Ovis aries: one gene and its partner. The protein of the gene in region 1 binds, or shares a complex with, the protein of each later gene. Links are inferred from orthologs where the notes say so. Each region holds a gene or a part of one and is shown on either strand. Other genes may lie near its edges. The genes, in order: NADPH--cytochrome P450 reductase and HMOX1.

What was found.
Region 2: the proteins of NADPH--cytochrome P450 reductase (region 1) and HMOX1 are in contact, whole or in part, in a crystal structure (PDB 3WKT), measured with the Rattus norvegicus proteins. The link is inferred for Ovis aries from reciprocal best matches to the Homo sapiens genes POR and HMOX1. Residues at the interface, in NP_113764.1 of Rattus norvegicus: Thr88, Thr177, Asp208, Asp209, Arg313, Arg514, Lys515, Gln517, Arg519, Leu520, Phe522, Lys523, His626, Lys665, Met667, Thr668, Lys669, Gly670, Tyr672; in NP_036712.1 of Rattus norvegicus: Asp12, Ser14, Glu15, Gln38, Ala75, Pro76, Glu81, Lys149, Ile150, Lys153, Ser171, Asp173, Asn174, Thr176, Lys177, Phe178, Lys179, Gln180, Leu181, Arg183, Ala184, Arg185, Asn187, Thr188.

What each region holds. Positions count from the first base shown.
Region 1 is NC_056077.1:34,589,474-34,596,421, reverse strand, and holds the start of NADPH--cytochrome P450 reductase, read right to left. Parts: upstream 4,451-6,948; 5' UTR 4,368-4,450; intron 1,997-4,367; 5' UTR 1,943-1,996; intron 1-1,942. UniProt on the Homo sapiens protein: This enzyme is required for electron transfer from NADP to cytochrome P450 in microsomes. It can also provide electron transfer to heme oxygenase and cytochrome B5.
Region 2 is NC_056056.1:179,236,821-179,242,699, reverse strand, and holds part of HMOX1 (heme oxygenase 1), read right to left. Parts: intron 4,199-5,879; coding exon 3,707-4,198; intron 1,303-3,706; coding exon 1,203-1,302; intron 220-1,202; coding exon 89-219; 3' UTR 1-88.

The DNA of each region.
Region 1 (6,948 bases):
CCCAAACATTTCTCACAGACTCCCTGCCACCCCCACACTCCTAGGTTCTCTAAACCACGTCCAAAGTTCAGCAAAGAGGCAGCCCTGAAATCAAAGAACAAACTTGGCCTTTGGCAACAGCAGATCAAGTTTCCAATCTGGATTAACACCAAGGCCCAGACAGTTGTGTGACCTTGGACGGCTTCTGTGAATCCTTGTAAAGGCACCCTCTTGGGGTTTGGGTGAGGACGAAATGGGCTAATGGATTAAGTCACCGAGTTTATATATTGGTTCCCAGGGACCAGGATGTCCTCCTCTTTCCGGTTTCCTACAGACAGACTCCCTCCCAGCCCCCTTCCCTTTGTTCCTTTCTCTGTTATGCAACCAAAGTTTAAATCCTTCCCGGTTTGAGGCCAGCTGCCGAGCAGATGGGAGGGTGTCTGTGTAACGGGAGGTTTCGAAAGTCCCATCTTTCCTGCCTCCCTCCGCATTTTTGTCCACGTGCAGCTGGAACAAGACCTTTGCCTGCTCTCCTCAATATTACGAAAAGTCGGGTGTTTATGTTATCTCCTGGCTTCTGCTCCAGCGGTCACCATGGCAACCAGAACCCAGTGCCGGCCATTGAAAAAGCCTCTGAGGAGGAGCCTGCTTGGTTTGCATTAACATTCAGTTCGGACAGCTCTTGTTGAGAGCATCTGCCTCATGCCTGTGCTGAGCAGTCACTAAGCAGAAACGGGAGTGATTTAGAGCTGGTCCCTGACTTTGAGGGGCTGGCCAAGATATAGAACGTCTCGGTCTAGTTCAGTGACTCTCAAAGTGTTGGCCCTCAAACCAGGAGTTTTCCCATTACCTTTGAATTGGTTTGAAATGCTACCTTTCAGGCTTCTTTCAAGGTCTACTAGGGTGGGTAGAGGGGGTCCTGAAATCTGGGTTTTAACAAAAGCCCCCTCCCTGTGATGGTGATGGAGGCTGGAGTTTGAGAACCGTAGATCTAATTAAAACCTCACCCCATCCCAAGAACTGGGAACTATTGTTCCCACGTCATAGATGAAAAAACAGAGGCTCTGCCCTGCTCTGTGTGCAGACTAGCTGACAGCTTGTGAAGGGGTTGGGTTCTCAGATCCCTTCCAGTGTCAAATTCTGCCTCTGCAGCACCTGTGACAAGGTGAGGAGCAGGTGTTCTTTTTCCTGGATCCTGGCTGGAGAAACAGAGAGGTACCTTATTCTCTGCCCAGCAGGGTCAGGGCCAAGCGACAACGCAAGTGGAAATGGGAAATCACAACGGAGGGAAGAAGAGCTGGGAGTAGGGTCCGAAAGAGCAGCAGCAGCCCTGGTGACAACCACCCGCCCCAAACGTGGGGACACTGAACTGACATAATACCCTGCTGCCCTCATAGCCGAGATCATCCAGGCATCTAAGCCAGATCCTCAGTCCTGAGGCCTCCTCTCCTGCGTTCACTCACCTGCACGCTTGGTTGGGCTCTTTCCACGCTTTTGCCCCTGCAGGCTCTCAGGGTCCCCTCTTACACTGCATCTGCCTGAACACCCTCTCCCCAAAGATGGAATCGCCTCTTCGGCAACCAATGGCCTCCAGCTTCTCTCGGCCCATATCTCATGACTGGGCGCTTCCTGCCTGTTCAGAGAACCCATCCACCTTTGAAATCTCTGATGGGCTTAAGTTTCCCTTTAAGTGAGCTGACATCCATCCCCGTGAAATATCCACCTTTTACAATATAAGTTAGTCTAATCCCCCGTAACAGAGATCACAGGCTTATTTTTAAAGTAAGGCGATCCTTGCCAACTATTTCCCATAAACCTACCACCCGCATTTGCAGATTAAACAAAGCAGGTAGACGATATCAACACTTTCGCTTGAAAACAGTGAGGTGGGAGCAGAAAGGGACAGGCTGAAGGATCAGAGGCGCTGGAGGGAAAAGTCACTGACTTGGATGCTCCGTCTTACCACTTCTTGCCCAAGAGACCCTGGCAGGACCGCAGCAGTTTTCACAGGAGCCCCCTTCAAGAAAAAGAGCACAATATTGCAAATATGATTTCCCAGAACTTGTTTCATTTTGTTGAAATCAGTCACAGATGGATGGTTTGTAATGACAGAAAAGGTAAAACTTAGCATGTCTTCAGTGATCGTTTTCACATACTTTATTGTTTCAGCAAATGGGAATCTTGAAGCTTAAGTAACTTGAGTTTTGTGGAAATCTGCCCCTGACTCAGGGCCTCAGTTTCTCATCCTATCCCCCATCCAAAGTTGGTTTGAGAAATGAGCTAAAGGAAGGTGAAACCATCAGCTGAGATGTTAGTGTGGCCTCTGATTTCTAAAGATGAATGCTTGCAGCCTGGGCATGAGGGAAGCTGGTTGATTATTCCTGTTAATAATCAAGAGCACCAGATGGGCAACCCAGATTAGCATTCTGCCCTGGGGAGGCCTCAACTGGAGCTCCAGGACCAAACCAGTAGAACCAGTAAATTCAGGGAACTAGCTCTCTTCCTACCAGAAAGGAAATGCTTGTGCAGATCCATAAGGACAATAACAGGATTATTTTAATCTTAATCGTTTTGGCAACTCTGGCTCTGTCAAGAGAAAGGCTGTGGTAGCTCAGGAAATTTAAAAAAAACTCTGGTTTCATTCCCCAGAACGTCTTTTTCAAGAGGGATGAGGATTTAGCAGGAGAAGGAAGGAGCGCTAGAAACTCCTGCCTTGCCTTGGGCTGCCCAGCCAGCCTGCAGCCCCTTGACCACCAACCCTGCTTTGCAGAGGGTGTCTCCTTCTCCTCTCCCTTTTTATTTTTTATTTATTTATTTTAACATTTTTTTGATGTGGACCATTTTTTTTAAGCCTTTATTGAATTTTGTTACAGTGTTGCTTGTTTTAGGTTTTGTTTTTTTGGCTCAGGGCATGTGGGATCTAGGTGGCTCAATGGTAAAGAACGCACCTGCCAGTGCAGGAGATACGGGTTCGACCCCTGGGTTGACAAGATCCCCTGGAGGACGGCATGGCAACCCAGTCCAGTACTCTTGCCTAGGAAATCCCATGGACAGAAGAGTCTGGTGGGCTGCAGTCCATGGGGTCACAGAGGATCAGGCACAACAGCTGCTTGTGGGATCTTCGTTCCCTGATTAGGATTCGAACCTGCACCCCCTGCACTGGAAGGTGAAGTCTTAACCACTGGACTGCCGAGGGAGTCCTCCTGTCCCCTTTTTAGAAGGTCTCCAGAGGACACCCCAGCTCCTGGCCTAAGCTGGGGGGATCCCCCATTGCAGAGGCTGCTGGTGCCTGCCCCCCTGAGAGTTGAGGAGCTTCCCAGGCTGCAAGGGGAACCCCATCTATCTCTGTAGTGCTGCTTGCAAATGAAGCTTGTTCTCATCCCCCACCCCTTCCTGGGTCTTCTAGGGCAGTGACTTCCAAACCCTTAGGCAGAGAAATCCCTGGACACCATGCATGCCAAAGAGGCCCCTTCAGGAGGCCAGGGGTCAGGCAGGCGAACACATTATCACTCTGCAGGGTGTCCCAGAAGCACAGAGCTAGAGAAATTAGGGCTGGTTCCCCAGGGACTCAGCACCACACCCTTCACAGTTCTGGCCTGCACCTCCCCAGGCACGAGGGCATCCACATCCTCTCTAATAAAAATGCCTGCCCGGGATGCCCTAGGGAAGAAGGAAGATGACCATGAAGACCTGGGCCCCCACGAGGCCCTGAAAATTGATCCAAAAGTTGCCAGTCCTTGGCTTGGGGCCCCAAGACTGGAAGTCTGAAGTGGCTGCAGGAGGGGATGAAGGTGAGAAAAGGTGGTGTGAGGAAGAGGGTGGGGCACCCACATCCAGGCCCACCACAAACCGAAAGCTGAGACGGTCCACCCAGAGAAATCTTTAAGATCATCCCAGGCCACCTCCCTATTGTACAGGTGAGAAAACTCAGATCAGAGAGGTCGCAGCACTTGTCCAACGTCACACAGTAAATGAATGGCAGGGACGGGACTAGAGCCCTTGCTTCAGCAGCTCTATCCACAACTTCCCCTGCTGTACCACCAGGCCTGGGCACAGGCTGGGGACAAGTCCCGCACCAGCTCCTTCCTCTTCCCTTCCCTTCTCACACCGCCCCCCACCCCCAACCCAGTCTGGGACAAGACAGACCCCAGCCAGCTACTCCACCTCCTCATTGAGGCTTGGTTTCAGCCACCCTGCCTTTAGCTACCTGTCTTGGTTCTGGTTGACCTGCCAAGTACAGGCAGCCTGCTCTCTGCCCTCCTTGCCCTGAACCTGGCTGCCCAGGAGGGCCGAGGAAGGGTGAGGCAGCAAGGCTGCCACCTCCAGTGTTTAGCCTCTGGCCCCTGCCCCCTTCCTCCTGCCCTGCCCCATGCTGAGAAGACACCCACCTGGGCAGCTGCAGGTGTGGATGCCCTGGACAGGGCCAACCGGCCAGGCCAGCTCCTGGGCTGAGGCACCGTCCTGCCTTCCCAGGGCTTGAGACCCATGGTGGCCTTTTATGGAGTGGAGAGGTGTGGTGTAAGGGATTAGGGGTGGAGCCCAGGGTACCTATATCTAAAAAACGGCCCCACCCCGAGTGCTCCTGCCAGGCGCTGGAATCAGAGCTGGTTCCAGAATGGTTTGTGCCTTGGTCAAGGCCCTCATCCCTTACAAAACAGCACAGATGCCCCATCCAGCCAAGCCCAGCCTTCCTGTGGGACTGGTCAGGGCCCAGGCGAGTGAGGCCAGTTCGGGACATGCAACCTGCCCTTGTACCCTATGGTCCTCTCTTGGGGTGACTCAGAACTTTGCACTGTGAGCCACGCAGATATGACTGTCCCCACCTACTCTGGGAGCTTGAACAAGTTATTCCACCTGCGGCCCAGTTTCTTCACTCTGAAATGTAAATAATAATACGTACTTCATAGGATTGATGCAGAACCTAGCACGTAGCTATTCAATCACTATTTGAATGAATGAATGAATGAGATGACTACAGTGGACAAGGGGTCTGGAAACCCATCCTTAGCAACCTTATTTCCTCACATCTCACCTTGCTTGCTCTAGACACGCCAAAGTCTCTCTCATTTCCCAGCTCCTTCTGTAAATATGTCCCACGTGCTCTCGCGATCAGGCTGTGACTCCCTTCCAGTGTGGAAGGTGGCCTCCCAACAGCCTCTGTGCCCAGACAGTCTCCCCCATGGCACCTGGCTTAGGAGTGACCCATGACCTGGTTCTGATCAAGGAAACAAGGAGGGGAGTTCTTCTGAGGGGGGGGCACAGAGGGGGCTCCCAAGAGCAAGACCTCAGAGGACATGCTGCCTCTGTGACTCTGGATGTTGTCATGCCCACTGGTGACATGGGCTCTCTGGTAGCCCTCATGCAGCCGCGAGGAGAACTGGCCAGAGGACAAAGCCAATAGTGGTTCCTGAACTGCCGGTCACACCGTGCCAATTGCCCACCTGCTTCTGGACTTCTTTCCATGTGAGATAATGAAGGTCCTCATTCGTTAAGCCAGTTTGATTTGGGGGGTTTTTTTCCCACTCACAGCTGAATGTATCCGGCCTGATCTCTCCAGCTCCTACCTGCACATGCACCCAGCTCCGGGTTTTGTTCTGAGGACCCCAAGATGAACCAGGCTCTGTGTTTGCCCTGGGGAAGCTCATAGTTGTGAAGAGGGGCTGGCAGGTAATTAGATGGTTACAAGCTTGTGAGCAGAGGTTGAGAGTATCTGGAAAGGGACAAACTGACTGTCCTGGGCAGTAAGAGAAGGATTCTGGGAGATGGGTTTTGAAGGATGCCTAGGAGTTTTACAGACAGATGAAAAGAATGTCTTCCAGGCAGAGCTAACAAGGTCAATGAAGGGGTATAACTTTGCTTAGAGAACATCAGTTCAGTTCAGTTCAGTTCAGTTCAGTCGCTCAGTCGTGTCCGACTCTTTGCGACCCCATGAATCACAGCATGCCAGACCTTCTTGTCCATCACCAACTCCCAGAGTTCACTCACACTCATATCCATCAAGTCAGTGATGCCATCCAGCCATCTCATCCTCTGTCGTCCCCTTCTCCTCCTGCCCCCAAACCCTCCCAGCATCAGAGTCTTTTCCAGTGAGTCAACTCTTCACATGAGGTGGCCAAAGTACTGGAGTTTCAGCTTTAGTATCATTCCTTCCAAAGAACACCCAGGGCTGATCTCCTTTAGAATGGACTGACTGGTTGGATCTCCTTGCAGTCCAAGGGACTCTCAAGAGTCTTCTCCAACACCACAGTTCAAAAGCACCAATTCTTCGGCGCTCAGCTTTCTTCACAGTCCAACTCTCACATCCATACATGACTACTGGAAAAACCATAGCCTTGACTAGACGGACCTTTGTTGGCAAAGTAATGTCTCTGCTTTTCAATATGCTATCTAGGTTGGTCATAACTTTTCTTCCAAGGAGTAAGTGTCTCTGAATTTCATGGCTGCAGTCACCATCTGCAGTGATTTTGGAGCCCCCAACAATAAAGTCTGACACTGTTTCCACTGTTTCCCCATCTATTTCCCATGAAGTGATGGGACCAGATGCCATGATCTTAGTTGTCTGAATGCTCGGTGAGGCTCAAATTAGGCCCATTGAGGAGTGGTGAGCAGAGACTGAACACCTCACCCAGGAGTTGTTCCCAGGAGCACACACAGGAGTCTGTGTACACTGGGGAGCCAGTGAAAGCTTCCTGCAATGTGTGCATCTTGGATCAGAAGAGCCTGGGTGCTCAGGAGAGACGTGACCGAGATCTTGCCTGGGTGGGGACAGGAGGGTGAAATGGGGGAACTGGTGAAAGAGGTGTTCTAGAGGCCCAACCTTGGGCCTTGGTGACTGAGGGAGAGAGTGAGAGTGGAAGGGGAGGGAAACATGATGGCTGGATTCCTGGTATGTGAGGAGGAGGAGTGACTGTATAAGTCTTGGAGGAGAGAACTATGGTAGCCAGTCTCCAGGATGGCCCCCAACGATCC
Region 2 (5,879 bases), on another chromosome or scaffold:
CCCAAGCTCAAGGGAAGGAAGCCAGCCAGGAGGCTGCCCCACTCCACGAACAGTTTTCACGGCCCCCCAGGAGGCAGCACACTCGCATTCACATGGCATAAAGCCCCACAGCAACCGTGGCCACCAGAAAGCTGAGTGTGAGGACCCATCGCAGGAGAGGTGCCTGGGAGAGGACGCTGGGCTGGGGCTTCCCACTGGGCGCCTTGGCGGGAGCCGAGTCTGAAAGAAAAGGCAGATGATGTCAACTCCTGGAAGATGGAAGCAGGGCCATTTGACGTCACAGAAAAACACATCAGAGGCGCCTCAGCAGGGTCTAGTAAAGTCCCCACTAGTTGCAAACCAGTAGCCCTCTAACCACTACTTGGATACCTCCTAAGACAGGGAGCTGACTTAACTTCTCTCCAAGCTGTCCACTCTTCCATTTTCAGGCAGATTGTGAGAAGTACTCTCCAGGGGTACCCAGGCTACCACAGTTTGAGAACTGATGTGTTAGGGCTAAGTCCCCCACCCCCACTGGGTAATCTCATCAGGAATGGCCACATTCCAGTGTTCCCTGCAAAACCCCACCAACAGAGGGGTCCATGTAGTCCTGGCACACGTGAGCTATGGTGGCACCAGGAGCAGAGGCCTGAGATGACCTGCCAACCAGGTGGCCGAGCTTCACCCCTCCCCTCCTTTCACTCCCCAAGCCACACTCTCGCCACAGGGAGGGAGGGGACATCTGTGGAGCACTCTGGTGCTCTGGAAGTTTCCCGTATGTTCTCTCAGCACTGCCACCCCCTAGCGAGCTCGCTGAGCGGCCTGAGGGAGGGACTAACCCAAGACAGGACCCTGCATCCACAGCGGGGGGCTAGCTAGAAGCTGCCCTGGGCCCCTAGCCCCAAGTCAGGGGGTCTCTGCTCGGGAACTGTTAACAGACCCCCAAGGGACCTACAGTGTGTGTGTGTGGGGGGGGGGGGGGGGGGGGGGAGGACTTGCCATGACTTCAGAGTATCCTTTGAGTACTCAAAAGTGACCTAGAACCAGCCCAACCCCCCTGATTCTAGAATGGGGAGACTGAGGTGCAGGGGGTCATCTGGGTGAAGGCTGGCTCCACCCCCGACTTCCCATATAAAGCCTGGAGAAGACAGAAGAGTCTGAGACACCAGAACCAGACGGCTGGGCCACGTGCCCTCCACACACGCCCCCCGGGAGGCCCTCACCTTGTGCCTTGCTGCCGGCTCGCCTGTGAAGGTCTGGTCCCTGCGAGGGATCACGGTCCTTGGGCTTCTGGGTCAGCAGCCCCTGCAACTCCTCAAACAGCTGCAAGAGAACAAAGCGCACGTCTCCATGAAAGGTGGGGCCACGCCTGCTGATGGGAGGTCTGAGGTTTCATTGTGAAATAGCACGACAGAACAGAATCACAGTAAAAATACCGAACATCCAGCTTAAGACATAAGATGTCACAAGTTCATTAACTCGCCTGTCTGGTCTTCTCCAAATGCTCCCCAATAACAGCCATTCTGAATGGCCACTCATGCCCGTATGCTGGGTCCCTTTGCAAATTACCATGTCTTGAGTGGTACCCAAGCAGGCACTCAAGGCTCTGTGGTACTCATTAGCCAGGGTTACAGACCAGGACATTGTTGCTCCAGAAATTCAGTGCCTGGGTGGTGACTAACCCAGAGGTCACACGGAAAGGGCCAGCCCTCCCATGGGGCTCTGGCTCCAGAGCGCCTGTTCTTTCTACACCACCTTTCTGAAAGATACAGCTTTTCTTAGAAGAGTGACCAGGTGTGCTGGGTTTTTAGTGGTATGCAAAGGACGCACATTGCTCAATAGCAAGTGCTATGACCAATCTCTTCTGGGATCCCAGGCTGGGAATAAGGAGCCAGGAAAGCATAAACTAAGAGCCCAGTTCCCACAGGGCCTCCAGATAGGAGGAGAGCGACAGAATTCTACAACATCAGGGTTAGAAGGAATCTCACCCCCACTGGGAACACCCACCCTGGCTCTGCCTAAGAGATCACCTTTCAAGGCAAAACCCATCTTCCCCTGGATTTGAGACACTTGTAGAAAGAACAGATCACGCCTCCTGGCTGGGCTGAGAGGCCCAGATGGCGGAGGCCAGGTCTGCAGCATCCGTGAACCCTGCAGTGCCAACCTGGCTACATATGAGCACACAGCCTACTTGTATGTCGTCACAGGGAGTTGTCACAGAGTGCCACAATGGTGATGCTCACATCGTACAATAACCGTAGCTAACTGCCCACATCCGCTGATCATCGAAAAAGCAAGAGAGTGCCAGAAAACATCTATTTCTGCTTTATTGACTATGCCAAAGCCTTTGATTGTGTGGCTCACAAGAAACTGTGGAAAATTCTGAAAGAGATGGGAATACCAGACCACCTGACCTGTCTCTTGAGAAACCTGTATGCAGGTCAAGAAGCAACAGTTAGAACTGGACATGGAACAACACACTGGTTCCAAATAGGAAAAGGAGTACGTCAAGGCTGTATATTGTCACCCTGCTTATTTAACTTATATGCAGAGTAGAGTACATCACGAGAAACGCTGGACTGGAAGAAACACAAGCTGGAATCAAGATTGCTGGGAGAAATATCAATAACCTCAGATATGCAGATGACACCACCCTTATGGCAGAAAGTGAAGAGGAACTAAAAAGCCTCTTGATGAAAGTGAAAGAGGAGAGTGAAAAAGTTGGCTTGAAGCTCAACATTCAGAAAACTAAGATCATGGCATCTGGTCCCATCACTTCATGGGAAATAGATGGGAAAACAGTGGAAACAGTGTCAGACTTTATGTTTTTGGGCTCCAAAATCACTGCAGATGGTGACTGCAGCCATGAAATTAAAAGACGCTTACTCCTTAGAAGGAAAGTTATGACCAACCTAGATAGCATATTGAAAAGCAGAGATATTACTTTGCCAACAAAGGTCCGTCTAGTCAAGGCTATGGTTTTTCCAGTGGTCATGTATGGTTGTGAGAGTTGGACTGTGAAGAAAGCTAAGCGCCGAAGAATTGATGCTTTTGAACTGTGGTGTTGGAGAAGACTCTTGAAAGTCCCATGGACTGCAAGGAGATCCAACCAGTCCATCCTAAAGGAGATCAGTCCTGGGTGTTCATTGGAAGGAATGATGCTGAAGCTGAAACTCCAATACTTTGGACACCTCATGCGAACAACTGACTCACTGGAAAAGACCCTGATGCTGGGAGGGACTGGGGGCAGGAGGAGAAGGGTCAACAGAGGATGAGATGGCTGGATGGCATCACCGACTCGCTGGACATGAGTTTGAGTGAACTCCCGGAGTTGGTGATGGACAGGGAGGCCTGGCGTGCTGTGATTCATGGGGTCGCAAAGAGTCAGACACAACTGAGCAACTGAACTGAACTGAATGTTCGAGGGCTGACCCTGTAACATGTCCTGCTTTGGGGACTTGATTGATTTAAGCAGTCACAACAACTCTGTGAGCTAAGTGCTATTATATCCCCATTTTACAGATAGGGAAACTGAAGTACAAAGTGATTAAGATAAAGATTTGCCTAAGATCACCCCACCAGGTAAGTGACAGAACTGGAACCCTGGACCCCAAGCCCCTGCCCTTAACCATGACCGCTGACGCCCCCCGCCCCCAACCCTGCGAGAAATGTCCCTGGAAGAGCAGCTGGAGGCAGGGTGGCCACGCAGCACAGCCCAGACCCTCACCTGGATGTTGAGCAGGAAGGCGGTCTTGGCCTCGTCCAGGACCCTCTGCCGGACCTCGGGGGTCATCTCCAGCGTGTTCATGCGGGAGCGGTACAGCTGCTTGAACTTGGTGGCGCTGGCGATATTGGGGAAAGTGAAGAAGGCCAGGCCCTCCCCAGAGCTGGGCAGGTTCAGGGCCTTCTGAGCAATCTTCTTGAGAACTTGGCCCCCAGACAGGTCGCCCAGGTAGCGGGTGTAGGCATGGGCCACCAGCAGTTCGGGCTCGGCGCGCCCCACCTCCTGGAGTCGCTGAACATAGCACTTGGTGGCCTGTGTGTAGGGGATGGCCTCCTGCCAGCGGGGCCCGTACCAGAAGGCCATGTCCTGCTCCAGGGCGGCCCGGCGGTGCAGCTCCTCTGGGAAGTAGAGGGGAGTATAGACGGGGTTCTCCTTGTTGCGTTCGATCTCCTCCTCCAGGGCCACGTAGATGTGGTACAAAGATGCCATCACCAGCTGAAACCAGAGCAAGTAGGTGGTTATCAGAGCACCCAGCCCCTTCGCACTATCGCCTTCAGAGTCATCCTTGTCACCTCCCCAGGCTGGGCTCCCACCTCCTGCCAGCCCCTCCAATCCTCCCCACGTGGCAGCCAGAGAAAGTGTCACAGGAGAAAATTTTCATCGTGCACTGTCTGAGCCTAAAAACCTTTTATTACACTGGAAAAAATACGAATCCTCATTTCATCCTTGGAAAAATCTAACAAAGGAATGGCTATGCCCATTTTACAGAAAAGACACTAAGGCTCAGAGAGGGTATGAGACACAGAAGTCACAAAGCTAGTAAGAAACAGAAATGGAGCCAAGCACAGGCATGGCTTTCTGGAGAAAGTAAGTGAATGAAAGTGCTTACAGGAGATGCCAGGCACCTCTCCCTGGCTTTTGACTTCTGGGGATCCATCTGCAGGGCACAGCTCTCCCCAGAAGACCCCTCTGAACCCCATCACCTCTGAAAGCTGGGCTGGGGGACAGACAGCCCAGTGCCCCTTGGCTCGGGTAACTCCCATTACACATTAATTTTCTAGTTTTGAGTTAGAAAGAGGACAAAGTTTAGATGTTCCGGCTGAGGTTTTCAGGTGATTTCTGAACCTTTAATCATTCATGGGAGCACTGTCTCTCACCAGGGCAGAAACCCAGGCAGCCTGGTACAGAGCAGCCTGGGTTTTCAACTGTGACCGACCTGGTCCTAACTCCACTCGGCCAGTCCCTGGTTGGGTGACGGTGGATAATACCACTCACCCTCTCTAGGCAATCTGGGGCCTGGGTGACTCTGCACAAGGTTCCCTTCCTTATGTAGAAGGGTAATCTGACCACAGAGTGATGGGGCAGGTATGGGGATCAGGGAGGATGGCAGAGGTGAAGCACTAGGCGCGACCTGGTAGTCAGCACTGAAGTTGGACCGTGATGATAAAAAACGCTACCTCCATCAGCACAATCTGAGCGAGCACTGGGTCCTCTCCTGGATCTTTGTGCAGACTCTGAACTCAGGGGCCAAGAAGGAAGCTCCAAAGCGTACAGTGGCTGGGCATGGGGTACTCCAGCGGCCACCTCCCCACTCCCACTGCCCCAGTCACGTTACAGCAAGTGTATGTCAGCTTTTTCACGTGGGTGGAGGGCAGAACGAAGGAGTAAGGGCTAGCCTCACACCCACAGGACACAGCCCAGGGCTGTGAGCCCCTTAGAGCTGCAGGTTAAATCGCCCTTCACTGAAGCACCTCTCCTGTTGGAAGTAGGGGGCGTCTCCCAGTACGCAAAGGCAGGGTGTCAGGAGTGGTGAGCCACAGCTCCCCACGCACACTGTTCAACCCAAACAAGCCTCTCCTCACACCCAGCACCTGCCAGGTTCTTTTCTCACATGCTTTCCTTCTACCTGTTATGAAGTTCACAACTGTGCTGGGTAATAGCAAAAATTCATGCCTCAAATACAACGGGCACTTAAGGAAATCATGCTGGGTATTCCCCTTGGTCCAATGGTTAGGACTCCGTGCTTCCACTGCTGGGAGCATGAATTCAGTTCTTGGTTGGAAAACTGAGAGCCCACATGCTGTGCAGTGTGGTCAAAAAAAAGGAAAACCCTGCTGTTGAAAAGGCTCATTTCACAGGTGAGGAAAAGGTACCTTGGGGAGGTTAGATGGTGCCC